Oryctolagus cuniculus: one gene and its partners. The protein of the gene in region 2 purifies or fractionates together with the protein of the main gene of each other region. This does not show direct contact. Links are inferred from orthologs where the notes say so. Each region holds a gene or a part of one and is shown on either strand. Other genes may lie near its edges. The genes, in order: TSSC4, AAR2, SNRNP200, DDX23, PRPF6, ZNHIT2 and EFTUD2.

The links.
Region 1: the proteins of AAR2 (region 2) and TSSC4 purify together in Homo sapiens (affinity purification with mass spectrometry; 3 studies listed by BioGRID and IntAct, counting the BioPlex papers as one, with this or other methods). This does not show direct contact. The link is inferred for Oryctolagus cuniculus from reciprocal best matches to the Homo sapiens genes AAR2 and TSSC4.
Region 3: the proteins of AAR2 (region 2) and SNRNP200 purify together in Homo sapiens (affinity purification with mass spectrometry; 5 studies listed by BioGRID and IntAct, counting the BioPlex papers as one, with this or other methods). This does not show direct contact. The link is inferred for Oryctolagus cuniculus from reciprocal best matches to the Homo sapiens genes AAR2 and SNRNP200.
Region 4: the proteins of AAR2 (region 2) and DDX23 purify together in Homo sapiens (affinity purification with mass spectrometry; 3 studies listed by BioGRID and IntAct, counting the BioPlex papers as one, with this or other methods). This does not show direct contact. The link is inferred for Oryctolagus cuniculus from reciprocal best matches to the Homo sapiens genes AAR2 and DDX23.
Region 5: the proteins of AAR2 (region 2) and PRPF6 purify together in Homo sapiens (affinity purification with mass spectrometry; 3 studies listed by BioGRID and IntAct, with this or other methods). This does not show direct contact. The link is inferred for Oryctolagus cuniculus from reciprocal best matches to the Homo sapiens genes AAR2 and PRPF6.
Region 6: the proteins of AAR2 (region 2) and ZNHIT2 purify together in Homo sapiens (affinity purification with mass spectrometry; 3 studies listed by BioGRID and IntAct, counting the BioPlex papers as one, with this or other methods). This does not show direct contact. The link is inferred for Oryctolagus cuniculus from reciprocal best matches to the Homo sapiens genes AAR2 and ZNHIT2.
Region 7: the proteins of AAR2 (region 2) and EFTUD2 purify together in Homo sapiens (affinity purification with mass spectrometry; 5 studies listed by BioGRID and IntAct, counting the BioPlex papers as one, with this or other methods). This does not show direct contact. The link is inferred for Oryctolagus cuniculus from reciprocal best matches to the Homo sapiens genes AAR2 and EFTUD2.

What each region holds. Positions count from the first base shown.
Region 1 is NC_091432.1:1,159,017-1,162,986, forward strand, and holds TSSC4 (U5 small nuclear ribonucleoprotein TSSC4), read right to left. Parts: upstream 2,543-3,970; 5' UTR 2,457-2,542; coding exon 2,411-2,456; exon of another isoform or gene 1,570-2,410; coding exon 1,490-1,569; exon of another isoform or gene 1,399-1,489; coding exon 568-1,398; 3' UTR 501-567; downstream 1-500. Other genes in the region: CD81 antigen, read right to left, coding at 3,690-3,752, 3,829-3,915. UniProt on the Homo sapiens protein: Protein associated with the U5 snRNP, during its maturation and its post-splicing recycling and which is required for spliceosomal tri-snRNP complex assembly in the nucleus.
Region 2 is NC_091442.1:22,049,644-22,053,606, forward strand, and holds the start of AAR2 (protein AAR2 homolog), read right to left. Parts: upstream 2,801-3,963; 5' UTR 2,662-2,800; intron 1,737-2,661; exon of another isoform or gene 836-1,736; intron 633-835; 5' UTR 578-632; coding exon 1-577. UniProt on the Homo sapiens protein: Component of the U5 snRNP complex that is required for spliceosome assembly and for pre-mRNA splicing.
Region 3 is NC_091433.1:111,297,021-111,300,520, forward strand, and holds part of SNRNP200 (U5 small nuclear ribonucleoprotein 200 kDa helicase), read left to right. Parts: coding exon 1-136; intron 137-316; coding exon 317-490; intron 491-2,265; coding exon 2,266-2,426; intron 2,427-2,702; coding exon 2,703-2,930; intron 2,931-3,254; coding exon 3,255-3,446; intron 3,447-3,500. UniProt on the Homo sapiens protein: Catalyzes the ATP-dependent unwinding of U4/U6 RNA duplices, an essential step in the assembly of a catalytically active spliceosome. Plays a role in pre-mRNA splicing as a core component of precatalytic, catalytic and postcatalytic spliceosomal complexes.
Region 4 is NC_091442.1:52,315,082-52,318,275, reverse strand, and holds the end of DDX23 (probable ATP-dependent RNA helicase DDX23), read left to right. Parts: intron 1-118; coding exon 119-270; intron 271-462; coding exon 463-571; intron 572-1,226; coding exon 1,227-1,401; intron 1,402-1,795; coding exon 1,796-2,019; 3' UTR 2,020-2,694; downstream 2,695-3,194. UniProt on the Homo sapiens protein: Involved in pre-mRNA splicing and its phosphorylated form (by SRPK2) is required for spliceosomal B complex formation.
Region 5 is NC_091442.1:197,902-201,401, forward strand, and holds part of PRPF6 (pre-mRNA-processing factor 6), read right to left. Parts: intron 2,546-3,500; coding exon 2,427-2,545; intron 1-2,426. UniProt on the Homo sapiens protein: Involved in pre-mRNA splicing as component of the U4/U6-U5 tri-snRNP complex, one of the building blocks of the spliceosome.
Region 6 is NC_091432.1:6,442,772-6,445,768, forward strand, and holds ZNHIT2 (zinc finger HIT domain-containing protein 2), read left to right. Parts: upstream 1-1,285; 5' UTR 1,286-1,319; coding exon 1,320-2,456; 3' UTR 2,457-2,497; downstream 2,498-2,997. Other genes in the region: delta(14)-sterol reductase TM7SF2, read right to left, coding at 2,650-2,810, 2,904-2,997. UniProt on the Homo sapiens protein: May act as a bridging factor mediating the interaction between the R2TP/Prefoldin-like (R2TP/PFDL) complex and U5 small nuclear ribonucleoprotein (U5 snRNP).
Region 7 is NC_091448.1:18,150,324-18,154,412, forward strand, and holds the start of EFTUD2 (116 kDa U5 small nuclear ribonucleoprotein component), read right to left. Parts: upstream 2,801-4,089; 5' UTR 2,522-2,800; intron 1-2,521. UniProt on the Homo sapiens protein: Required for pre-mRNA splicing as component of the spliceosome, including pre-catalytic, catalytic and post-catalytic spliceosomal complexes. Component of the U5 snRNP and the U4/U6-U5 tri-snRNP complex, a building block of the spliceosome.

The DNA of each region.
Region 1 (3,970 bases), on a different chromosome or scaffold from region 2:
AGACCTGGGGAACCCACCCTTTGTCCCCCATGGCCCATGCTGGGCTGGAGTCCTGGCACAAGACCCCAGATGCCGGCTCTGCACCCCGTCCTGACAGTCTGGGTGGGGCACAGCCAGAGGCGAGCGTGGGCACGGCTACAGGACCACTCAGGCCTGTCCGGCACCATGCTGGACTCCTGTGGCCTGACCCCAGCCCAGGGGGACCCCTCAGCCCCTCCAGGCCGGCACTGTGCGCAGCAGGTAAAGCCGCCTCCTGTATGTGTGGTTCCAGTCCCGGCTGCTCCACTCTGACCCAACTCCCTGCCGCTGCAGCTGGGAGAGCAGCAGACGGCCCCTGTGCCACTGCGGCTCTCTGGGGAGTGGACCAGTGCACGCAAGACCTCTCTATCTTTCAAAATTAAAAGCAAACAAAAACCCAGAGAAGCGGAACACTGGGGCCGTCACTCTGCAGGGTCCGAGCGGGGCTGGGGGCCCAGGGGGAGTGAGACGACAGACAGGACCCGAGGACACCCAACACCTTTATTGTCACCCATGGAGCCCCGGGCCCCCGGCCGCGGCCCGGCCCGCTCACCCCTCAGCCGCTGGGCCCTCGCAGCCGCTGCCCCTGTTCCGGAAGTGCTCCCGGCTCCGCTTCCTGGCGCCGTGGAAGCCGACGGCGTCCAGGCCGGGGGGCCCTGGCGAGGCCCCTCTGTGGGCAGCCGCGGGGGACGCGTCTTCCTCCTGCAGGCCGCCGGGGGTGCCGCCCCTCTCCTCGGCCTCTGGGCTCCCGGGCCCGGCCAGGTGGGGCAGCTCCACCGCCTCGGTCCCCGGGAGGCCCCTGCCCGGCTGCGCGCCCTGCCCCAGGCCCCTCTTCCTCTCGGGCCTGGGCTCGCGGGCTCGGGCCGGTCTGGTGAAGACCACCCTGCCCTCCCCGCAGCTGGAGGAGTCCTGGTTGAAGGCGGGCGCGCAGGCGGCGGGGGCGGCCGGGCCCCGCGCGCCCAGGAAGGCCAGCGCCGCCGCCCGGTTGCTCTGCTCGCTGGCCTCGGCCACGTCCTCGAGGCTGTACCTGGTCCAGCGCTCCGGGTGCGCCACGTAGTCGGGGACACGCGGGCCCCTGGGGGCGCCGGCCGCCCCCTCCAGGCCGTCAAAGACGCTGTGGCTGCGCCGGGAGAAGGCGGAGCTCGTGCCCCGGAGGCAGAACGGCTGGGCCGCAGGGGCGGGGGGCGCCGGGGGCGGCGAGGGGGGCTCGGAGTCCTCTGAGTCCGCGGGCAGGTCTACACACGGCGCGGCCGCCTCGGCACCGCCAGAGCTGAGGTCCGAGTCCGAGTCCGAGCCCGAGTCGCTGGGGAAGTCGGCGTCGTCGGGGGGCGCGGCGTCCCCCTCGGCCCCCGCCTGGGCCATGGCCCCGTCCCACGGCACCTGCGGGGAAGCAGCCCGCGGGGAGGGGGCAGCTCAGGGTCGCCGGCCCACGCGGCCGCAGCAGCGGGCCCCTCCCCGGCCCGGCTCTCACCTCCCCCGTCCGCCCACGGAGGTCCTCGGTGGCCCCGGCGTGGGCTCCTCGGTGGCCTCGGCTCCGCTGCTCAGACGGGGCTGGGTGAGGGGCGGGGGACAGAGCCCGCGTCAGAGCGCGGGGCCGGCCGCAAGCTGCCTGGGACGAGGCGGAGCCCAGGGCTGGGCCCCAGGGCCCGGGCCGCGGCCACCCCGGCGGGGTCGGGCTCGCGAGCGCGCTCAAGGGTCAGCTCGAGCGGCCTTGCTGGGCAGAGGCCGCCCCCGCGGCCCCGGACACGACCCCCACCCGCGCTCCCGAGGGGCTGGCTGCAGGACAGCCCGGGCGCACCCTCCACACGGCGCTCCCCGCCTCGGGCCGACCCAGGCGCGGCGCAGCACCTCCTCCCGCGGAGCAGCCGCAGGAGGAGCGCTGGGCCCAGCAGGGACCGCGGCGAGCGCGCCCTGGGCTGGGGAGGCCGGGATCCCGCGACCGGGCCGAGGGGCAGCGGCTCTAGCTGCCTCCGGCCGCCTCTGCCGCGGAGCAGAGCACACCTTCGCCGTGTCAGGGCGGCCGCGCAGAGGGCCCTCCCGGACTTACCGGCTCCTCGTGCCGGCCGCCTTCATTCGGGTTCCCCGCCGGCCGCGCTCAGCCTTTTGGGAAACCGAGTCCCCCGCTAGCCGCGCACTGTGGCCTCCGCGACCGAAGAACTACATCTCCCATAAGCCACCGGGCCTCAGCTCCCGAGCCCTGACGGGACGTGTGCCCCAGTGCGCATGCGCCCACGCCCTTCTCCTTACACCTCCAAGCCCTGCGCCAGGAGCGGGTTCCGGAAACGGAAAAGGCCTAGCGTTGACACGGAGGAAGGGGCGGAGCCAACCGCCACTCCCAGAATGCTCGACTAACGGCGAGGCGCAGGCCTCTCGGAGTTTTAGTGCCACCTACCGGGAGGTGCGGAGACAGCAGCCGACGTAGACAGGAAGTGCGTCATCGCGCACGGTGGAGCAGAAGCCCTTGCCCGCACTTCCGGCCTTCCGAAAGCGGAAGTCGCTGCCCCTTCCCGGGTCCATCCGTCAATGCCCGGGGCGGGCCTGGCAGCCACTGAGCTTGTGGGCTGCGCTGGACGTCGGGAGCCTCTGACGATGTTTCTCCGGTTCCCCGGCCCTCAGGGACAGGCGCGCGGAGCGCTGCCCAGCGGCCCAGGCAGCCGGGGCTGGGCGTGGCCATCCTGGGCAGGTCCGGCCCCGGGCTCTCCCAGACAGGCCTCTCGCTGGCCACCAGGCCCCAAGTGGGCAGCGCCTTTTGCCCCCGTTTCTGCTGGGGCTGCTCGGTGCCCGCCAGACCCCAGCTCCTGAGTCCCTCTCCTGCGGGGGCCTGCTGTCCTGGCACTCACGGGGAGACCGGCGTCTAAGGACCCCGGGGGGGCCAGCCGCGGACAGCAGGCGGGTCATGCACGGCCCAGGCACCTCTGGGACACCCACCCTGTCCTGGCAGCCCCGGGGCCCCAGGCCCTGCACGTCCAGAGGCCAGCCTGGGCCAGCACGGCCCGGGGGGAGTGGAGGGGACTCCTCGCTGCACCTAGTTCTCCCAGGCAACCCTGTCCCCCAGGGGCTGGGAGCAGCAGGAGCCCCCGCCCTCCGCAGGGCCAGCCTCAGTCCTCCCTGGCTGCTGTCCAGGCCGAGGCGGGGCCTTTGCTCTGGCTGCTCCGAGATGCTGCTGAGGCCCGGGGGGCCACCCACGTCTCAGCAGACCTGGGGCCTGCTGCCCGCAGGGAGCCCGGAGCCCGGCCGCCCCCTCCCGCAGCCCGGTGTGCCCCAGGGGCGGTCACCCGCGGAACGCTCCCTGGGTCCTGGTCCCGTCCGCTCCGCGCGGGCTCGGCACAGTCCAGACCCCTCTGTCCCCAGCGCCCCACCCACTGAGACCCCACCGGCCAGGACCGGCGGCCAGCGCGTTAGCATGCCCGATGTCTCCTCCTTTATTACAGACTGTGTCCAGCTGCGGGCGTTACAGTTGAAGGTGACGTTAGAAAGGACAGGTGCTCCCGGAACAGGCAGGAAAGCAACAGGATTAAGAAGGCCCGGCCCCCCTCGGCAGGTGCCCCTGGCACGCGGCGTCAGCCACAGGGGCTCCGGGGGAGACGCAGAGCCCGGAGAGCCGGCAGCTGCGTGCGGAGCGAGCGGGGTGGCTCTGTACAGGCGGCGGGGGCGGCGGGGGCAGCGCGGCCTCAGTACACGGAGCTGTTCCTGATGCCGCAGCACAGCACCATGCTCAGAATCATCTCGAAGATCTGGCGGGAGGGGGGCGGTCAGCGGGGGCCGGCGGGGCGGGGCGGCCCCCCCCCCCCCGCCCGCCTGCCCGCTCACCATGATCACGGCCACCACGATGGCCGCGATGCCGATGAGGTACAGCTTCCCCGAGAACAGCTCGTCAATCTTCTGGTGGCAGTCCTCCTGCGGGGAGGGCAACCTCAGCTCCCACCTGCCCTGGCGGCACCCCGGAGGGCCC
Region 2 (3,963 bases):
CCAGGCCCTCCTGGTAGCTTTTACACTCTGTGCCACACTGGGGCAGATTCTGGCCCACCCGGTCCTTGGTGTGCTTCATGGCGAGCACAGGCAGCACGTCTGAGAAGGCACAGATCTGCCGGCTCTCAGGCTGCAGCCTCTCCACGGTGGCCTCACTGATGAAGGAGGTGAGTGAGATCCACTTCTTCAGTGTGGCATAGGGGTAAGGTCCCAGGAACTGGTCCAGCTCTTGGAGATTGGCCCTCATGGCTTCCACTTCGGCCTCTGGGGCTGGGCACAGGTCCACCTCTTCCCGGACTGTGTTCCAGCGCAGCACAGTCAGCCCCCGCTGCTGCAGGCTGAGGAAGAAGCCCATACGAGGGCCCACCTCCCTGGGATTGGCCTTGTCCACAGCGCTGTAGTGTAGGAAGTGGATGCCCGGTGGGATCATCTTCACGCCCCGGAACTTGGGCCCCACCTCCCAGGAGTTGTAGTCAATGCCAAACTCTGTCCCCTTGGGCATGTTCAGGATGACCACAGTGGCCCCTTCAAAGAAGAGGCACTTGGCTAACTCGGGATCCATCTGCATGGCAGCCATTGGGCCAGCGGCGGGTGACCGAAAGGAACCCCTTCCCTCTTGTGCTCCGGAACAGCTGAAAGAGAAGGACATTAGAGCGAATCAGGAGTTGCAAGGAGGATGCTGGGCATTCCGCACGCGCCAGGCACCGGATTAGACGCCTGACCCGATTATCTCCCGAATCCTCACGACACCCTGCATCTGTCTCACAGATAAGGAACATAACAAGGAGACAGAAGGGTATTTTTGCATTTTGATTTAACAAACAAGAGCACTCACTTGACAGCTAGCGAGACACCAGCTAACGAAAAGTGGAATGTTCCAGGGCACTTAAGGACCCCAGTCAGCAACCATGTACCCCCTGCAGGCCAGCGTCCTTTCTGCTGTCCACTTGGATCTACTCCCCATCTCTCTTACAACAGAGGATGAGGGTAGAAAAAGCCTGGATGGTTCATCCTCAAATACTCCTGAATCATCTTAAACTATAATCCTGCCTCAAACCTGTCGCCGGAGTCCCAGAGGGTTTGAGAAGGATTAAGTCAAGGACACACGGAGTTCCCGTCAGCACCTAAAATTCACAAAAGGCTGACGGAGTGGAAGCTTTTCAACCCCAGATCCCTTCTTTCACTCATTAAAAACCCGAACTCCAAGGAGTGAGACAACCTCCTGAAGGGCCCGCATTCCTCCAGGACGGATCGGGAGGCAGGGCTGACCTAGGACGGTACAGGGAAGAGAAAGCGCTAGAACACCTACACCTCCTTCACCTGCCTCTGTCCTGCCGTGGGGACGGGCAGACGCTGCTAAACCCCCGCAGGCACAAGCGGCCTCTGCCTCGACCAATGGCTGCAGTGGAACTGATTCAAACCCATCAATTACCTAGTCTCCCAGCCCTAGGAGACCCACCTACTCAACCCAACGCCTACTCCCTGAGCGCCTGCACTGGGCCCCAGAAGAAACACCCAGCAAGTAGCAGTTAATGCCCTCCCGCTGCTTCCAGTGTCGCCAGACAACCCAGTAAGACATCACAAGTCCCCAGAAAACTCGGCCTCCGGTTTCCCTCTGTCCACACTTTCAATTTTAAACACTCAAAGAGCGCAGAAAGGAAGCCCAGCCCCTTTCCAAGAACACTAAGAGCTATTTTATCACTACTAGAAAGGACTCTGCAAATCCGCCTTTTTTTTTTTTCAAAGTTCAAAATGGGTTAAGAAATTAACTGAGAAGGTCTCAACCGGCACTCCTTTTCTTAAGTGAAAAGAACAGAACTGATAGGATGTCCGACTGCTACGTCCTGAGTAGTGAGGACAAGCACTGTTTTCTAAAGCTTTAGGTGCTGGGTGGACACTTATTTGGTGGTGACACGGAATCTATTTGTTACAGCAGGGTCACAGTCAAGAAGCTTGACAGCCGCTGTTCCGAATAATTCGTACGTTCGCCTTCCCTACCCCTAGCCCGAATGCGCAGGACCAGTGCGCCTCAGCCGGCTTCCCTGCCCCCGCGCGGCCTCCTGGAGCCCCAGCAGCGGCTGGCACACGGCCTGGCCCAGAGCTGGTGCCGGGCGAAGGAACTTTGCACCCCAACAACCCGTCTCAGAGCCGGGTCTCTGAGCAGACCGTCACGGCCACCGCCGCCGCCACACTTAACACCCTCCGCGGGGCTTCCCGGCCGGCTCCGGGGAGCCCCCAATCCTGGCCCTGACCCACAAGGCCCGCGCCGTCGGGGCCCCTGCGCGCGCTCTGCTCCGGCCACCCGGGCCTCTCGGACCCTCAACGCGAGGCAGAAGCCTCCCTCGGCTCAGGTTCGCCTCCCCAGGGGAGCTTCCTCGCCCGCACGACGCTCGCGGCTGTCTGCACCCCGGCGTTCGCTAGACGCTCAGCCTACTACAGCCGATTCACTGTGCAGCCCGAATCAGCGGCTGGGTTCGGGGAAGCCACGCAGCGGGCGCCTGGCGCCCCGGCGGCGGCGTCTCAGGAGGGCCTCGCGAGGCCCACACCGGCGAGGGGGAACCAGCGCAGGACGTGCCGCGGTTCCGAGCCGAGAAGACAGGCGCGCTGGCCACAGGCACAAAATCACAGGAGGAAAAAAAGAGGACAGAAGGCCGCACTCACCGCCCGCAACCTCGGGTACCGCGGAAACGCACCGGAAGTTCTCCCGCTGGGGCGCCGGTTGGGCGCGACCGAGAAAGCGGCCCCCTGGAGTCCTCGGTCGCGGGAAGAACGGCCCGGGCCTACAGGTTCCGTGCGGTCGAAAGTTGTCTTCTGTGGCTCGTACTTTCTCCTTTTTTAGCTCTTGCATCTTGGAAAACAATTTTCCTGAAGCTGTACATTTTCTATCCCCTTCCCAGGACAAATCCACGAACCTAGTTAGTCCTTTGCCTAGTCCTTTGCTTTGGTAACCAGGACTGTAGGATTTAGCTGAAAAAGGGAGGCGGGGCGCGGGAACAGCCATCAGAGAACCTGAACTTTCTGGAGCTTGTTTTTAGAGGATGTTCCAGGAGAGCTTGTCTTGGGACACAGCACTCGGAGGGGACCAGACCACCACAGACAAGGCGCAGTTCAAGCTGCGAGAAGCCCGTCTGGGGGGTGGGTGGTGGGTGTTGTGGCATGGTGGTTAAGAAGCTGTCTGGGACAACCATGTACCAAACCAGAGTGCCTGTGTCGAATTCCAGCCCTTGACGTCTGACAGCTTCCTGCTGATGCTCCTCCTTGGAGGCAGCAGGTGAGGGCTCAAGTGCTTGGGTCCCTGCCACCTCACAGGGAGACCTGGATGGAGTTCCTGGCTCCTGGCTTTGGCCTGACCCAGCTCTGGCTGCCGCGGGCATTTGGGAAGTGAACCAGCGGGTGCGAGCTCTGTCTGTCTCTGTGTGCATGTGTGTGTCTTTCTCTTGGTATCTCTCAATGAAAAATAAATTCAGGAACAGGCTTTTGGCGCCGTGGTTAAGACACCACTTGGGAGGGGCCGGCGCCATGGCACAGTGGGTTAGTCCTCCACCTGCGGCACCGGCATCCCAGACAGACACCGGTTCTAGTCCCGGCTGCCCCTCTTCCAGTCCAGCTCTCTGCTGTGGCCCGGGAAAGCAGTAGAAGATGGCCCAAGTCCTTGGGCCCCTGCACCCATGTGGGAGACCAGGAAGAAGCTCCTGGCTTCTGGCTTTAGTCGGCCCAGCTCTAGCCATTGTGGCCATCTTGGGAGTGAACCAGTGGATGGAAGACCTCTCTCTCTCTCTCTCTCTCTCTGCCTCTGCCTTTCTATAACTCTTTCAAATAAATAAATCTTTAAAAAAAGATAAAGTGAAAATAAATACAACTTTTAAAAAAGAAACCAGTTTTAATCAGAGCTTCATGGTCAAGCTGCACTTTTGTCATCATAATACTAAATTCTGCATCTGGGGAGGAGTTGGATCATGTATG
Region 3 (3,500 bases), on a different chromosome or scaffold from region 2:
GTGATCCTGCATCATGAGTATTTTCTACTCAAGGCCAAGTATGCCCAGGACGAGCATCTCATTACGTTCTTCGTGCCTGTCTTTGAACCGCTGCCCCCTCAGTACTTCATCCGGGTGGTGTCTGACCGCTGGCTCTGTGAGTGTCCCCTAGGAACAGGCCCTCTGAGGACAAGAGGAGGTCTTGGACTTTGTGCCAGGCTTGCCCTTTTTTGAGAGTGATGTTTGTGCTGTCAAGGGTTTCTGCGTTCACAGGGGTGCTGGAGGGCTGTTGGGGGAAGACAGAATGCTTACTCTCCTTGCTGTTTCTTTCTGGCAGCTTGTGAGACGCAGCTGCCTGTGTCCTTCAGGCACCTGATCCTGCCAGAGAAGTACCCTCCTCCCACCGAGCTGTTGGACCTGCAGCCCTTGCCCGTGTCTGCTCTCAGAAACAGTGCCTTTGAGAGCCTTTACCAGGATAAATTTCCCTTCTTCAATCCCATCCAGACCCAAGGTGAGTGTTCTCATTCCCAGATAGTGGGTCCCCTTGGAGGCCTTTTTTCTTTTTTTTTTTTAATTAAAAAAATTACTTGAGTGATAGAGAAACAGTTAGCATCTACTGGTTCACACCCAGATGCTTCCAACAGGTGGGGCTAGGCCAGGGTTGAAGGCAGGAGCTGAGAGCACAATACAGGCCTCCCCTGTAGGGTACAGGAATCCAGGTACTGGAGTCAGCAGCTTGGAGTTGATCCCAGGCACTCCGGTGTGGGATGTGGGCATATTATCCTGTAGGCTAAGCCCCCACTCCCCTCAGAGGCATTTGAAGAGTACCTGGAAGCAGTGTGTTCTGCAGCAGGTAGGGAACCAGGTGTTCAAGTTCTTGGTAGACTTGGCAACCCAGCAGCCTGTCAGGGACCACTAGGACCCTCTGTTTCCTGAAAACTCCTTGGCCCCTGTTGGATTTGCATTGCCACTCTGCATGGAGACTGAGGTGAGAGGAGCAAGGCCTTTCCATGTGTACTGTCATTTCTTAGGCTCAGGGTGTTAGATCCTGCCCCTGATGTTCAAGCACTGCACTAGGGCATGGGGCGTTGATGGAGGCTTCCTCTATCATTATGAGTAACAGTGCGTTCACACAGCATGCACTGTGCTCTGAGTACTTGGCTGAGTACAGCACCATTGTTTTCTCTGTTAGTCCTTCTACTTGTCCTTTGAGGGGTTTACCATCTGAGCTTCTGCCATTGGGGTCCCATTTTATAAATGAGGAAATATGCATGAACAGGTACCCCGAATAAACCAGCTAATACATAATGCAACTTTGAAAGGCAGAGTCATAGAGAGGCAGAGAGAGAGAAAGAGGTGTTCCATCTGCCGGTTCACTCCCCAGAAAGCCACAATGGCTGAAGCTGGGCCAATCCGAAGTCAGGAGCCAGGAGCTTCTGGATCTCCTATGTGGGTGCAGGGGCCAAGGACTTGGGCCATCTTCCACTGCTGTCCCAGGCCATAGCAGAGAGTTGGATCAGAGGTGGAACAACCAGGACTTGAACTGGCACCCACATGGGATGCTAGCACTTCAGGCGGCAACTTCACCTACTATGCCACAGTGCCCAGTCCCATATTTTTTCTTTCTTTTTTTAAAGATTTTTTTGTTTATTTGAAAGACAGAGTTACAGAGAGGCAGAAGCAGAGAGAGAGAGAGGTCTTCCATCCAGTGGTTCACTCCCCAAATGCCTGCAATGGTTGGAGCTGGGTCGCTCCAAAGCCAGGATCCAGGAACTTCCTCCAGGTCTCCCACGTGGGTACAGGGGCCCAGGGACTTGGGCCATCTTCCACTGCTTTCCCAGGGCATAGGAGAGAGCTGAATGGGAAGTGGAGCAGCGGGGACTCAAACCAGCGCCCACATGGGATGTCAGCACTGCAGGCAATGGCTTTACCTGCTATGCCACAGTGCCAGCCCCTTAATTTAGTCTTGATGCCAGGGCATAGTCTTCCCTTCCATGTTAGACTATTTGCAGGAAATGCAGGAAAGTATTGAAGGCACAGAAGAAGCTAGCCCATTCCCTTTATTCTGCATCCTAGTCCCTGAGAAGCAAAGAAAGATGCTTGGCTTCTTTTTGCTTTGGTTGTCCCACAAATCTCCGGGGGCCTTGAAGGTTTCAGAGGACACAGCAGGCTGAGCCCGCCTTGGAGGCGCCTGCGCCATCAGCCCTTTGCACCCCACAGCTGACTGACCTCGTCCCAGTCTGTCTCCTCTCCCGCTACTCACACTACTTCTCTGTCGATCTCCAGTGTTTAACACTGTGTACAACAGTGACGACAACGTGTTTGTGGGGGCCCCCACGGGCAGTGGGAAGACCATCTGTGCGGAGTTTGCCATCCTGCGGATGCTGCTGCAGAACTCGGAGGGGCGCTGCGTCTACATTACCCCCATGGAGGCCCTGGCAGAACAGGTGTGTGGTGGGGTGCCCTGGCGGGTGCACTTCCCCAGAAGCCATGTTGTCCTGTTCCACACCATGGTTTCTAGCCCTCATATAATTAGGGTGATTTCCAGAGTTTACATTCTAAAGAGAGCCTGCCCCGCACTTCAAGGCTGGTCTGGGGTAGGAGAGCTGCATGAGCGCTGCAGAGCAAGTCTCTCTGCTTAGCTTCAGGCGTACTTTGTAATACGTTGGAAGACGCCTGGTGTGACCTAATGTTCTTCTGGCCTCCTGCATCCTGCTCTCCAGGTGTACATGGACTGGTATGAGAAGTTTCAGGACAGGCTCAACAAGAAAGTGGTGCTGCTGACAGGGGAGACCAGCACGGACCTGAAGCTGCTGGGCAAAGGCAACATCATCATCAGCACCCCTGAGAAATGGGACATCCTCTCCCGGCGGTGGAAGCAGCGCAAGAACGTCCAGAACATCCACCTCTTCGTGGTGGACGAGGTCCACCTGATCGGGGGAGAGAATGGGGTAGGCCCGGGCCTCGCGCTACGGGCGGGGCTGGGACTGACGGGATGCACTGGGCCCTGTGTTTGTATCCGAGGCTGGAGACTCAGGATTCTGCCTGCTGCCTCATTCCAAACGGCTGATGTGAGATTTCTTTGTAGAGCTCTCGGAAACCAACATGGCGTAGTGAATGTCAGCTCCTGTGGAGAAGGCGGGAGGCGGGAGAGCCCCTAGTTAGGAGGAAGACTTAGGAGGTCACTTTGAGGCTGTTGGGTGATGTACTGAGGGGCACTAGGGGCAGAGTTTGGGGAACCTGGGTCTGGAGTGACACTCCTCCCTCTTTTCCAGCCTGTCTTAGAAGTTATCTGCTCCCGTATGCGCTACATCTCCTCCCAGATCGAGCGGCCTATTCGCATTGTGGCACTTAGCTCCTCGCTCTCCAATGCTAAGGATGTGGCCCACTGGCTGGGCTGCAGTGCCACCTCCACCTTCAACTTCCACCCTAACGTGCGCCCTGTGCCGTTGGAGCTGCACATCCAGGTAGGACCCACTGTCCCCATCCTCCGTGGCCTCAGACACCCCAGCTTACCCAGG
Region 4 (3,194 bases), about 30 Mb from region 2:
ACTGCTGTACCACCTGCTGGCTTCCCTCGTTTTAGCTTGCCTCGCCTGGGTTAGGCTGCCTGCAGACATGGTCGGGTATGCCGGCTGGGGCCCAGAGCTGAGCCTCCTGTTTCCACAGACAGTCATGTTCACGGCCACCATGCCCCCAGCCGTGGAGCGTCTGGCCAGGAGCTATCTTCGGCGACCTGCTGTGGTGTACATTGGCTCTGCCGGCAAGCCCCACGAGCGGGTGGAACAGAAGGTCTTCCTCATGTCTGAGTCAGAGAAGAGGTACGGAGACAGCTGACCTGGGGGCAACCAGGTTGAGAGGGAACTTCCTGCAGGGCCGTGTCGAGGAGCTGCTCTCCAGGACGCCAAGGGCCTTGCTGATCCTCAGCTCCTGTTCTTGGGTCAGGGGCGGGCACTTCGCTGGCGTGGCTGCTGCATCACATCTCATCTTTCCTCTCGTGCCCCTTTCCCCAGGAAGAAGCTGTTGGCAATCCTGGAGCAAGGCTTTGACCCGCCCATCATCATTTTTGTCAACCAGAAGAAGGGTTGCGATGTGCTGGCCAAATCCCTGGAGAAGATGGGGGTATGTCTGGCAGGGGAGAGCAGAGGGCGGCCTGCAAAGACCACCAATGACACTAGAGGGGTCCTCAGGGCCTGGGCTTTCAGTCCCACTCAGGGCCAGAGGGACATGGAGGACCCTGTCCGTTCCAGCAGCAGCAGCCAACGCTGCCTGGGGTCTTCATCCATGAGAGATGGGCCCCGCATTCTGACAGAGTCTGGGCACGTGGAACAGAGCAAGCCAAAGCAGTGTCTGCAGATGTTTGGGAAGGGATGTGATGGTGTCAGCGGGGCAGCGTTGCTAACCATGTCCGCTATTGCTGGCGCTGGGGCTTGAAGGAAGGGTGCATCCTCGCCACCCTGCTCTTATCTCCCTGAACTTCTACCCTGATCTCCGTCTGATTCTCTCCCCAGTCCTTCTCAGCTGTCTGACTCCCTGTCTCACCCCAGATGGCTTTGTCCTTGTCCTTACCCTGTCTGTCCCCGCCGCCCCCCACTGGTGTCTGCCCCCACTTTCCTGAGCTCATCTGTTTCCTCCTCCCTCTCAGGAGCCCTTATTCTTTCCCTCTCTCCTGCCCTGCCACCCCCCGCCCCGCCCTCCCCATCTGTCTCCGTCCTTTCTTGGATGTCTTCTCATGCTCCCGTTGCTGGCTCTTCACCCCACTGTTGTCTCCCAACAGTACAATGCGTGTACATTGCATGGTGGAAAAGGCCAGGAACAGCGAGAGTTCGCTCTGTCCAACCTCAAGGCCGGTGCCAAGGATATTTTGGTGGCTACCGATGTGGCTGGTCGTGGTATCGACATCCAAGATGTATCTATGGTTGTCAACTACGATATGGCCAAAAATATTGAAGGTAAGTGGGGGAAATTAGGTAAGTGGGGGGAATTAGGACTCCTTGCCACTTCCCACGCAAAGTCACGGTGCCACCCTGGGGAGACCACTGCTGCCATCTCTCACGGCTCCAAGTCTGGAGTCACTTGTTCAGTGGGCAGAGCTCTGGCACTTTACCTTACCTGGACTTGTCCAGCCTCTGTGGTAGAGGTGTGGGGAGGGAGGAAGCTGGGCGGCTGTTGGTGTGGCCGGATGTGGTGCAGTGGTTGACCACAGCCAGCCGTGGGAACAGGGAGATGGGTACCCGTGGGAAAGCGCCACAGGTGCTTTTGGTCAGGCAGTGCAGGGCACACTCAGTGCTGGGGAGGGGGCGGCCTTAGAAGTGGAGACTGAGGGGCGCCCCTCCTGTTCCCCAGATTACATCCACCGCATCGGCCGCACTGGGCGAGCAGGCAAGAGTGGCGTGGCCATCACCTTCCTCACCAAAGAGGACTCCGCTGTGTTCTATGAGCTGAAGCAGGCCATCCTGGAAAGCCCAGTGTCTTCCTGTCCACCCGAGCTGGCCAACCACCCAGATGCCCAGCACAAGCCAGGCACCATCCTCACCAAGAAGCGCCGGGAAGAGACCATCTTTGCCTGACACAGCACTCTTCCCGTAGGCCTAAGGGCATGAGCCGAAGCTGCCGGGTGCCTCCTATCCCTCTCTCCAGACTCTTAACCCTGGGTCCTGGCAGCTTGGGTGACAGTCAGACCGCCTGGCCCAGACCTCCACTCTGGAGGCCTGAGCATGGTGTTGCAAGAGGGGAGGAAGTCACCACCGGTGTGGCCCTGCTCTGCCCCTCCGGGGGCCTTTGTGATTGTTCTGGGCTGTCCGCTCACGCCAGGTCATGGGGGCAGCAGTGGGCACTACCCATCCCTGCCCCTTGTCCTGGGTGAGAGCCTGGCTGCCTGGCTGGGCCCTCCTTTGGCACAGGTGGGACTGTGACTGGAAGCTGCAGCAGCGTCATGGCCCTAGATGACCCGGGGAGGGGGTTGGGGGGTTCTGGCACGGTGAGGACTGTGGAGCTCGGACTCTCATCTTGACAGCTGCTTCCCCACTTGGATTCTAGAGCAAGTTGAGAGCCTTTGGGACTGCATGTCCCCAGGCCCAGGGGTGCTGTGCACTCCAGGCATTCCTCCCCCAGGGAATTTTTAGTAGATGTGGGGACAGGGTGAGCTGGCTGTGTTCATCTTTAAGTCACTGAGTGAAGTTTCTGTTTTCTATTCTCTGAGAAGATGAGTTTGTATGTTCTGAGAATAAATATGGGAATATTAAGGTTGTGTCTAGTTTTAGCCGATTCTCCCTGCCACCACACAGGACAGGAGAACCGGGTCTTTGCCAGCAGTCATACGTCTACAGGTGTAGAAGCCGGGGCAAGCCGGTCTTGCCGCAGCCTCACACACATCTCAGAGCTTTTGCTTATTGGCTCTCCAGGGGCTGGGGCTACTGCTCACTGAAGAGACAGGTGCCAGAGGCATCACGGTGCTGAGCAGGGCCCAGTTGAGGGAGGTCTTGAGAGGGCTGTGGTCCCCTTCCTACCTCCCTGCCCCCCAACCATTAGTATGCTCTTCCTTAGTCCTCAGAAAGAGCTTGGCAAGTCCATGGAATTCAAGTTCCAGCTATGTCCAGGGCTTTTTTTTTGGCCTGAGGCAGGGACAGTGGAAAGCTGTGACTAAGCCTCTTCCCCACCTCGCAGAACCGGCATCTTGGAGTCCCTCCAGATACCCGGCCATGAGGTGTGGAGGGGGTGCTGGGGACTACAGTGCCTCCCCCAG
Region 5 (3,500 bases), about 22 Mb from region 2:
AAGATCTCTCTCACCCAGTCCCTCCCCTGTAACTCTGCCTTTCAAATACATAAACCTTTTTTTTTTTTTTTTAATCAGCGTCACTGTCACAAGAAAGTGAAAGGCAGAAGGGGGAATTCGCCATGATGCGTGTGCACAGTGGACGTGAGGTGCGACCTGGATGTGCTCTGCCCTGAGCGCTGGCTGTCGGGTGACGGGGCTGGGCTTAGTGCTGTGAAGTGTCGCAAAGCCACTGTGCCCATGGAAGACGGCAAATGAGCCTGTGGACCTGCAGGGGGTGGTGGTGTGGTCAGGGAGCTCGGGCCAGTGATGGGGCAGTGATACCAGGCGCTAGGCCAGGCCCCACAAGCACTGTGTCCTCGCACCCTGCAGCACATCCGGTGCCCTCTACAGGGCCCTCGACCCAGCCAGAAACACAGCCCCAACCACAGCGAAGCAACGTGCAAACTGTGAGGTAGCACGGGGACTGCGGCGTGTACTGCTGTTCCTTCTTCCCGCTGTTCTGTCATGGAAGCCTCCAGGATAAAAGGGTTTTAAAAGCCACCACTTTGGGCCGGCACCACGGCTCACTAGGCTAATCCTCCGCCTAGCGGCACCGGCACACCGGGCTCTAGTCCCGGTCAGGGTGCCAGATTCTGTCCCGGTTGCCCCTCTTCCAGGCCAGCTCTCTGCTGTGGCCAGGGAGTGCAGTGGAGGATGGCCCAAGCGCTTGGGCCCTGCACCCCATGGGAGACCAGGAGAAGTACCTGGCTCCTGCCATCAGATCAGCGTGGTGCGCCAGCCGCAGCGCGCTGGCCGCGGCGGCCATTGGAGGGTGAACCAACGGCAAAGGAAGACCTTTCTCTCTGTCTCTCTCACTGTCCACTCTGTCAAAAAAAAAAAAAAAAAAAAAAAAAAAAAGCCACCACTTTTTACTATGACTTTCTAGATGTGTCCATGTCACTGTGTTTAAAACGAATTAATGTCAAAGTACTGGAATCAAATCAATGAATGCAAAACCATTTACACCTAATTACTATTCACACGCCCTGATTTAAAAACAAGTTTTCAAAAACTCCACAAAATTCAACTTCATTCTCCTAAAGTTATTTTGAAAAAAATTAGAAGTTTTATATACATATACATATATATACATATATATGTATGTTAGGGGAAGTTACAAAATTACCAGTTATAAGCCCCCCACCCCATGTCACAGCACCAGTTCAAGTCCCCTGCTAGAGACGGAGGGCAGTGGGTGACGGCTCACGTACTTGGGCCCCTGTACCCACATAGAAGACCTGCGTGGAGCGCCTGGCTCCCAGCTTTGCATCAGCCCAGCTCCGGCTGTTGCAGCCATCTGGGGAGTGAACCAGCAGATGGAAGACCTCTTTCTAGTCTCTCTGCCTTTCAAATAAAATAAATCTTTTTTTAAAAATTGTACGTATCAACAGCAATACAAAAAAGAAAATGAACCAAGAGATTAACTGTTACTTTTTCTTCTTTAATTTTTAGTTTTTAACAGATTCAATGTGATTTGCAAATATAATTCTTTTTCTTAAGAAATGTTTTTTTTAAAGACTTATTTATTTGAAAGAGTTACAGAAAGTGAGATAGAGCAAGATTTTCCATCCAGTGGTTCATTCCCCAAAGGGCCACAACAACCGGCGCTGAGCCAGGCTGAGGCAGGAGCTTCTTCCGGGTCTCCCACACGGGTGCAGGGGCCTAAGGACTTGGGCCATTTTCCACTGCTTTCCCAGGGACATCAGCAGGGAGCTGGATCAGAAGTGGAGGGTGCCCAGGCCCCTGGCAGATACAAGTCTAGGAACACACTGATCGTCCCTCCCTCCCCCTCCCTCCCCGCCCTCCCTCCCTCCACTGTTACTTCTCTGAGCTTGTGAAGAAACGTCACACTCTTTCCTATTCTCAACCTTGGTTTCCTATCATGCTATGACGTAAATGTGTTTTCTTTATAATAAAAAAGTCAGCAGCTTGCAAAGCAGCAGAGTTTACTGTGCTTCCTCCCGGGACGTGCCGGCCAGCAGCCCCGGCTGGCGGAGCAGGGACAGCTCGAGCACCTGGCAGAGGGCCCCTGGTGTGCAGCAGGACGCCGAGGACACGTGCTCGCGGGCCGGCCTGGCCTGAGCTCCCTAACCCACTCTACCACCAGCCACTTCCAAGTTCAACTTCACACAAGTTAGTCCCCATCACTGCATCCACTTGAAAGGGGGCAATGCTGACGCACAAAGCAAGCCTCCAAGTCCTGCTGACCCCTGCACAGCCAGCAGTGCGCTCTCCCCCGTGGCCCAACACATCCACGTGTAGTGGCCACGCACCACAGAGCTCCGGGAGGAGCAGCTGCCACGGTTCCTGCAGCTTTTCTACAAGCCTGAGCCAGTAGAGGAAGTGTGTGTGTGTGTGTGTCGGCGTGAGCGTCGGCCCGGTACCTTCTCTCCTTCCTCCTCTCGTCCATCCTCTTGTCCAGCGCTGCGTAGATGGCGTCCGCCTCCTCATCGTCCTTCTCGTAGGGCCCGCTGGAGAAGAGGCTGCCGGCATAGCCGTTGAACTGAGGACCAAACAGCACACTCAGAGGGGCCACACCCCCACAGGACCCCTCTCACAGAGCTCCTGCACACACCCAACCGGAGGGTGCCAGGGGCCTGAGACAGAGCAGCCACCCGGGTTGGAAGAGCCTGGAAGGGTAAAGAGCGAGGGTCCCAGACCAGGCCCTCCTTGATGGGAGCACTGGTGAAACCCCAGCCAGATCAGCAGTCACGAGTGACGCCCAGCAGGGGCAGCCACCTGCAGAGCCGGCACACCTGGCAGTGACCCTCAGCGCCGCGGCCCTGGAAGCAGCGCTGACGCTCACGTCTCTGCGCCGTCACCTGGACTGAGTCCCGGCTCCCACAGTGGACAGAGTGAACAAACGGAACCACCAGCCTGCTCTCAATCCAATCAATCACATGGACAATAACAACGTGTCACCGTTAATTTCCAGGTTTTGGTAAGTGTCGCAAGGTCAGAAAGATGAGCGCTGGGGTGTACTCGGCTAAGCCTCCGCCTGTGGCACCAGCACCCCATGTGGACGCCGGTTTGTGTCCTGGCTGCCCCACTTCCGATCCAGCTCCCTGCTAAGGCCTTGCAAAGCAGAAGATGGCCCAAGTCCTTGGGCCCCTGCCCCTGCGTGGGAGACCTGGAAGAAGCTCCTGGCTTCAGATTGGCCCAGCTCCAGCCGCTGTGGCCATTTGGGGCATGAACCAGGATAGAAGAGCTCTCTCTGTGTTTCTCCCTTTTTTTGTAACTCTGCCTCTCAAATACGTAAATAAAATCTAAGGAAAAAAAAAAAAAAGATGGGGAAAGCTTCGTGAAGAGTATACAGGAACATAGGAATCTTTTTTCTTGAACTGTTTTTGGTATTATTTTTCCAACTTCATGCAAGCTTATTTATTTCAAAATTAAAATTCATTGCTTAACTTTTTATTTTATTAAAGCAGTAAAAGGCCCAACCCCCACACCCAGCG
Region 6 (2,997 bases), on a different chromosome or scaffold from region 2:
CTTGGCACTGTGCAGTCACCGCCCCAGCACTGATGATGGCCCAGCAACGCCACCACGCCCAAGCTCCACCTGCCTGTGTCCTTGGCTCCCAGTGTGGAGTCCGCCATGATAATACGTGGAAGACATTTACTGCGAAGTAGAGGCAAGGGGCGGGAGGGGGGGAGCGTGGGTGCAGACGTTAGAAATGCCCCAGCGTGCACTGGGCTAGGCGGGCTGCTGCCGTCTCGCCCTTTCTTCCGCTCAGCCCCGTGCTTCCCAGTGTCCCCTGGCAGCCTGGCTGCTCCTGCAGGGCAGGAACCCATCTCCTCTCCCAAGGCTGCCCAGTTCCCTGCTTAGTGATGAATTCAGGGGCCGGCGCCATGGCATAGTGGGTAAAGCTGCCGCCTGCAGTCCTGGCATCCCCCGTGGGCGCTGGTTCGAGTCCCGGCTGCTCCACTTCCGATCCAGCTCTCTGCTATGGCCTGAGAAAGCAGCCGAAGATGGCCCAAATGCTTGGGCCCCTGTACCCGTGGGAGACCTGGAAGAAGCTCCTGACTCCTGGCTTTGGATCGGCGCAGCTCCGGCTGATGTGGCCCATTAGGGAGTGAACCAGCGGCTGGAAGACCTCTCTCTCTGCCTCTCCTCTCTCTTTGTAACTCTTTCAAATAAATAAATCTTTTAAAAAAATGATTTCAAGCCGGCGCCGTGGCTCAATAGGCTAATCCTCCACCTTGCGGCGCCGGCACACCGGGTTCTAGCCCCGGTTGGGGCGCCGGATTCTGTCCCGGTTGCCCCTCTTCCAGGCCAGCTCTCTGCTATGGCCAGGGAGTGCAGTGGAGGATAGCCCAGGTGCTTGGGCCCTGCACCCCATGGGAGACCAGGAAAAGCACCTGGATCCTGGCTCCTGCCATCGGATCAGCGCGGTGCGCCAGCTGCAGCGGCGGCCATTGGAGGGTGATCCAACGGCAAAAGGAAGACCTTTCTCTCTCTCTCTCTCTCTCTCTCACTGTCCACTCTGCCTGTCAAAAAATAAAAAAAAAAATAAAATAAAAAAATAAAAAAAATAAAAAAAAATAAAAAATGATTTCAGCCGGCACTGCTCAGTTTTGCGGTGCGACCACCAGGGGGCGGGCTGGCACAGACGGGACACTCGTGGCGCCCTAGCGCTGCAAAGGGGGCGGGGCTTCCGAGTGTGGGCGGAAGTTGCCGAGAGCCCTTGTCAGCCTGGCATGGACTAACGCTCGGAAGGCTCCGCGACGAAGCGGAAGTAACCGAGGAGGCGCCGGAAGTTGGCCCGCGGCGCGCGTGACGTCCGCGGCGCGCATGCGCTGCCAGTTGCCATGGAGCCGGCCGGGCCGTGCGGCTTCTGCCCGGTTGGGGAGACGCGGGCCGCGCGCTACACCTGCCCGCGCTGCAATGCGCCCTACTGCTCGCTGCGCTGCTATCGGGCGCACGGGCCCTGCGCCGAGGACTTCTACCGCGACCAGGTGCTGGGGGAGCTTCGCGGCCGCAGCGCCTCGCCCAGCCGCCTGGCCAGCGCCCTGCGCCGGCTGCGTGAGCAACGCGAGACCGAGGACGAGCCCGAGGTAGCAGGCCTCAGCCCGGGCCCCGCACCCGGCGGACTTTCGGGACTCTGGGAGCGGCTGGCACCTGCCGAGAAAGCGGCCTTCGAGCGGCTGCTGAGCCGCGGCGAGGCCGGGCGGCTGCTGCCTCCCTGGCGGCCGTGGTGGTGGGGGCGCGGGGACGGACCCCGGCTCGTGGAGGCGGTGGGGGACGCCGCGGAGCCCGAGCCGGATCTGGAGCCGGAGCCCGCCCGCCCGCCCGCCGTGCCCGCCCGCATCCCCGCGCTGGCCAGCCTGAGCCGCAGCCCGGCCTCGCCGCTCGTGCGCTTCCAGCTGCCCAACGTGCTGTTCGCCTACGCGCACGCCCTGGCCCTGTACCACGGCGGCGGCGACGACGCGCTGCTCCCCGACTTCTGCGCCACGCTGCTCGGCGTTTCCGGAGCGCTGGGCGCCCAGCGAGTCTTCGCCTCTAGCGAGGAGGCCCTGCAGGCCGCAGCCCACGTCCTGGAAGCCGGCGAGCACCCGCCCGGGCCCCTGGGGACGCGGGGCGCCATGCGAGAGGCCGGCCGCATCCTGCTGGGCCGGGGCCCCGCCGACCCCAAAGGCTACACGCTGGCCGCGCTGGGGCACCTGGCTCGGACCCTCGGCCGTGCCCGGAAACAGACCGCGGCTGGCGAAGACCGAGATCGCCTCTACCGCGCCCGGAAAAAGTGCCAGTACCTGCTGGCCTGGGCCAACGAGAACGAGGCGGCCCTCGGGCCCCTGGCTGTGGACTGCGCCAGGGCGCACGGCGCGCACGCGGCGGCCGCGGAGGAGGTGGCCGCCCTGGCCGGGGAGCTGGAGCGGCTGTGGGGCGGCCCTGTGCCCCCCGCCCCACCTGCCCCAGGGGCTCTCATTGAAGAGCTCCCTGGCTGACCTGGGGGGCTTGGCCTCAATAAAGCGGAGATTGGCCCTGCCCGGAGTGACAGCTCAGTTGTCCCGCCCAGCCCCGGGCTCTCGGGCCCACGGCGTGTCCCAGCCTTGCCCTGCCCCAGAATGGAACGGAAGCGGGCGGCGACTTGGAGCCGTTTATGCAGGGGAGGAGGGGTCTCCGCCGGGGCGCGGGCGCTCAGTAGACGTAGGGCACGATGCGGTGCGGCACGCGCCGGCAGTACTCCAGCCACGCGCGGCCGTACTTCTGCAGGCACTGCCGCTCGTCGCGGGCCTCCCGGTGCACCAGCAGCGCCGTGAAGTAGATGATGTAGAAGTAGGGCAGCAGGTGCGACAGCCCTGCGGGGAGGGGCCGCAAGGGTCTCCACGCTGTCCGGCCGGGCGGGGGAGGCCCAGGGCCAGCGGGGGCCGCCCCTCCGCCGGGGCACTCACCGCAGGGCAGGGACCAGGCCAGGGCCATGAGGAGGTCCCCGAGGTAGTTGGGGTGGCGGACCATCCCCCACCACCCAGACACCAGCAGCCTCCG
Region 7 (4,089 bases), on a different chromosome or scaffold from region 2:
AAGAATTCAAATGCTACCTCCTTCAAGCTTTCTTAGATCTCAATTTCTTTTTTTTTTCTTTTTTTGACAGGCAGAGTGGACAGTGAGAGAGAGAGACAGAGAGAAAGGTCTTCCTTTGCCGTTGGTTCACCCTCCAATGGCCGCCGCGGCCGGTGCGCTGAGGCCGGCGCACCGCGCTGATTCGATGGCAGGAGCCAGGAGCCAGGTGCTTTTCCTGGTCTCCCATGGGGTGCAGGGCCCAAGCACCTGGGCCATCCTCCACTGCACTCCCTGGCCACAGCAGAGAGCTGGCCTGGAAGAGGGGCAACCGGGAAAGAATCCGGTGCCCCGACCGGGACTAGAACCTGGTGTGCCGGTGCCGCTAGGCGGAGGATTAGCCTAGTGAGCCGCAGCGCTGACCCAGATCTCAATTTCTTATTCCCCCATGCTGCTGCAGTCTTTTGGATTTACATCACTGTTCAGCTTTTTCCTGGATGGCGGTTCACTGCACTAATTACCCTCAACAACTCCATAGTTCAGGAGCACAACACCAAGCCTCTGGAGCTGGAAGACCTAGATTCAAATCCCAAACTCATCACTAGCAACTATGTAACTTAAAAAAAAAAAAAAAGATTTATTTATTTATTTGAAAGAGTTACAGGGACAGAAAGAAAGACAGAGGGCTCTTCCAAGTGCAGATCCACTCCCCAGATGGCCACAATGGCCAGGGCTGGGCCAAGCTGAAGCCAGGAGCCAGGAGCTTCATCCAGTCTCCCATGTGGGTAGCAGCGTCCCAAAACATCCTCTCTCTGCTGCTTTCCCCAGGGCATTAGCAGGGAGCTGGATCGGAAGTGGAGCAGCCTCCGCGAGATGAAGTGGCGTCACAGACAGCTTTGCCTGCAAAGCCACAAAGCCAGCCCATGTACGTCTTACTTCACCTCTGCACATCCATTTCCTGAACTGGAAAATGGAGTGATGAAACCTCATGCATAAAATGATTGGGGATTAGATAAAAACCCTGCAACTCCATCCAGGTCCCCCACTGAGTGGCAGGGGCCCCTGTGCCAAAACCTGCTACCTCCCAGGATGCCTTAGCGGGACACAAGCAGAGAAACCGGGACTCGAACCGCTGCACCAACATGGGATGTGGCCTTCCCAGTGTCTCAACCCACTGTGCTATAATGCCTGTCATCTATCTCTGGTCATTCTTGACTAGAAGAACCTGTGCTCATTGTGCTCCCCTCCCAAAGCCCTAGAGCACCCTGTGTAAGCAGGAACTGGATAAATGCAAATGGAATGGAATATTTGATACTGATGTTTCTTGCATTGAGCTAATACCTCAACCTCCCTCAATGCCACTTGCTGAGTGCTGATTGCAAATAAAACACATAATTGGAGAACCCAAGAAGAGGTAGTTACGGGGCTGGCGCTGTGGCACAGTGGTAAAGCCGGCACTGCCCATATGGGCACCAGGTTGAGTCCCAGCTGCTCCACTTCTGATCCAGCTCTCTGCTATGGCCTGGGAAAGCAGCGGAAGATGGACCAAGACCTTGAGCTTCTGAACCCAAGTGGGAGACCCGAAGAAACTCCTGGCTCCTGGCTTCAGATTGGTGCAGCTCCAGCCATTGTGGCCACTTGGGGAGTGAACCAGTGGATGGAAGATCTCCCTCTCTCTCGCTCTTGCTCTCTGCCTCTGCTTCTCTCTGTGTGTAACTCTTTCAAATAAATAAATAAATCTTAAAAAAAAAAAAGTGGTAGTTACGTGTACATTATTAGAGAAAATCTCATATGCATAAAGGCTCTTTTTACTTCCAAAGAGCTATCAAACTGGGCTCATTCATTCTCCCGAGACCTCCAGCCAACAAATGCAGAGAGTTCCATAGAGAGCGGTTCGTGGAACAAGTCAAGCCCAGCCCCAAGGCCACTGCACCTGCCATTCTGTCTGAAATGCTCTTGCCTGAGGTATTCGTAACTTTGCCCTCTAGCTTATCAAAGTCTCTTTTCACTAAAAAGCCCCTCATTCACGCTCTCCGACCCTCACTTTCACCGTTTTCCTATCAAGACATGAATCTACTCGTTTGCATCCTGTTCGTTCTTCCCGCTACAACTTAAGCAAGGTCTCTCGTTCACTTAGGACAGCGCCTGGCACAAAACAGGCCCTCAGCAAGCATGTGCTGAACGCACGATCGGACGACTCCAGCAACGCACAGACAGCTGAGTTGCACCAGCTGGTTACGAACCTCACCGCAGCCCCTCGCTATTTTAACTTCTGAAAAAGAATCCCAAATGAAGACAAAGAGCCTGGCAGAGAAGAGGTGATGGCGGCACTGATGAGAGAGCGAGGAGACGCGGCAGTGAAAGCTCAACCCTGCCCAGGAACGGGACTTCAGGGATGGGGCTGGGGGCTCCTTCCGGCTCCAGGCCTCAGCTCACTCATCCGCAACGGGCAGACAGCACCTCATGCCTCTTCCAGATACGATGCTCTGTAACTTCCCGCCCTGCCCAGATAACCTTCCCACGCCACGGACCCCCGTTAGCTCACCTCCTCCCTGCTCAGCGTAGAACCCCAAGTCCGCCGACGGAGACCGCGCGGCCGCCTCGCGTCACTGCAGCGCCTGCGCCCGCAGCCAAGAAGGACCCCGCAGACGCCGAGGCCGCGTTTCTGCCACGGAGGACAGCCCTGTGCCTGAGAACCGGCACTGAGGAATGCCGACCGCAGACACAGGAGCCGACCGGGTGGAGTTGTGAATCCCATACCCAAGCGTGGGCTGCTCGAAAGAGAGTGAAGCCTGAGCATACATGACTACTGGGTCAGGCACCGCCAGGACACCTAAAGGGGCTTTCGGGCAGGTCACGTGGGCAGGCCGTTGGCGCAGTTGCTAGGCAACCGCGGATGCTGGGCGTAGTGGGCTCCGAGCCGCCGTTTGGTTCCAGTACACCAGGGAGTCCCCAAGGAAAGCGAGGGGACCGAGGCGGGAACTGCGGTGGTGAAGGTCCGGGTGGCTGGGTCGGGAGGACAGACGGGTTAGTTCTACTTATTGGCTGACTGCAGGGCTCAGGGGCCGGGACTCCTGAGTTCAGCTCCTGGCCAGCCCAGTCGGTTCTGGCGTTCAACTTCGCTAGGTTTGTCCGTGTGGGTAGCTAGTTGCGGACCGCCTGCTTCCCTGCCAGGACTGCTCGGTGTCCCCAGAGAAGTCTCACAAGTACGCGGGCACTTGAAAAGCTTGTGGGAAATGGAGTTAAAAGATAAGCTTATTTCGATGCAGATATTCCAAGTCCATGCATACGATAGAGGGTGCCTCCAAAAAGTGCATGAAAATGTGTATTATGAAAAAACTATGAGGCAGGGGTTGTGGCGCAGCGAGTCAGGCCGCCGCTGCAACGCCAGCATCTCAGGTGAGGGCAGGTCCAGTGGGCACTTCGGCTCAAGCTCGCTGCTAGTGCACCTGGGAAAAGCTGAAGTGCTTGGGCTCTGCACCCACGTGGGAGGCCTGGATGCAGTTCCAGGCTCCTGATTTCGGCCTGGCCCAGCCCTGGCTGTTGCTGCGATTTGGGAAGTCAAGGACTAGATGGAGGATCTCTCTCTCTGTCTCTCCCTCTCCTTCTCTCCCTCTCCCTCTCCTTCTCTCCCTCTCCCTCTCCCTCTCCCTCTCCCTCTCTCCCTCTCTCCCTCTCTCCCTCTCTCCCTCTCTCCCTCTCCTTCTCTCCCTCTCCTTCTCTCCCTTTCCCTCTCTCTCTGCATTTCAAATAAATAAAACATTATTTTAAGTTGCATGGATTTCAAAATGTTTTTGCACCAAAATAAATTCATTTTTAAACAATACTTATTATCTTTAAATATTTAGTTATTTTCAATTTATTTAAATTCAAAGAGACAGAGAAAAGAGGGAGTTCTTCCATCTGCTGGTTCACTCTCCAGCAGGTTAAAGCTGCTGCTTGGGACACCCACGTCCCACATCAGAGTGCCGGGTGGAGTTCGGACAGCTGGGAGGCAGCAGATGAGGTCCAGCTACTTGGATTCCTGGCTCCCAGCTGCAGCCTGGCCTAGACCTGGTGCTGTGGGCATTTGGGAAGTGAACCAACAGGCAGAAGATCTCTCCCTCCCTCCCT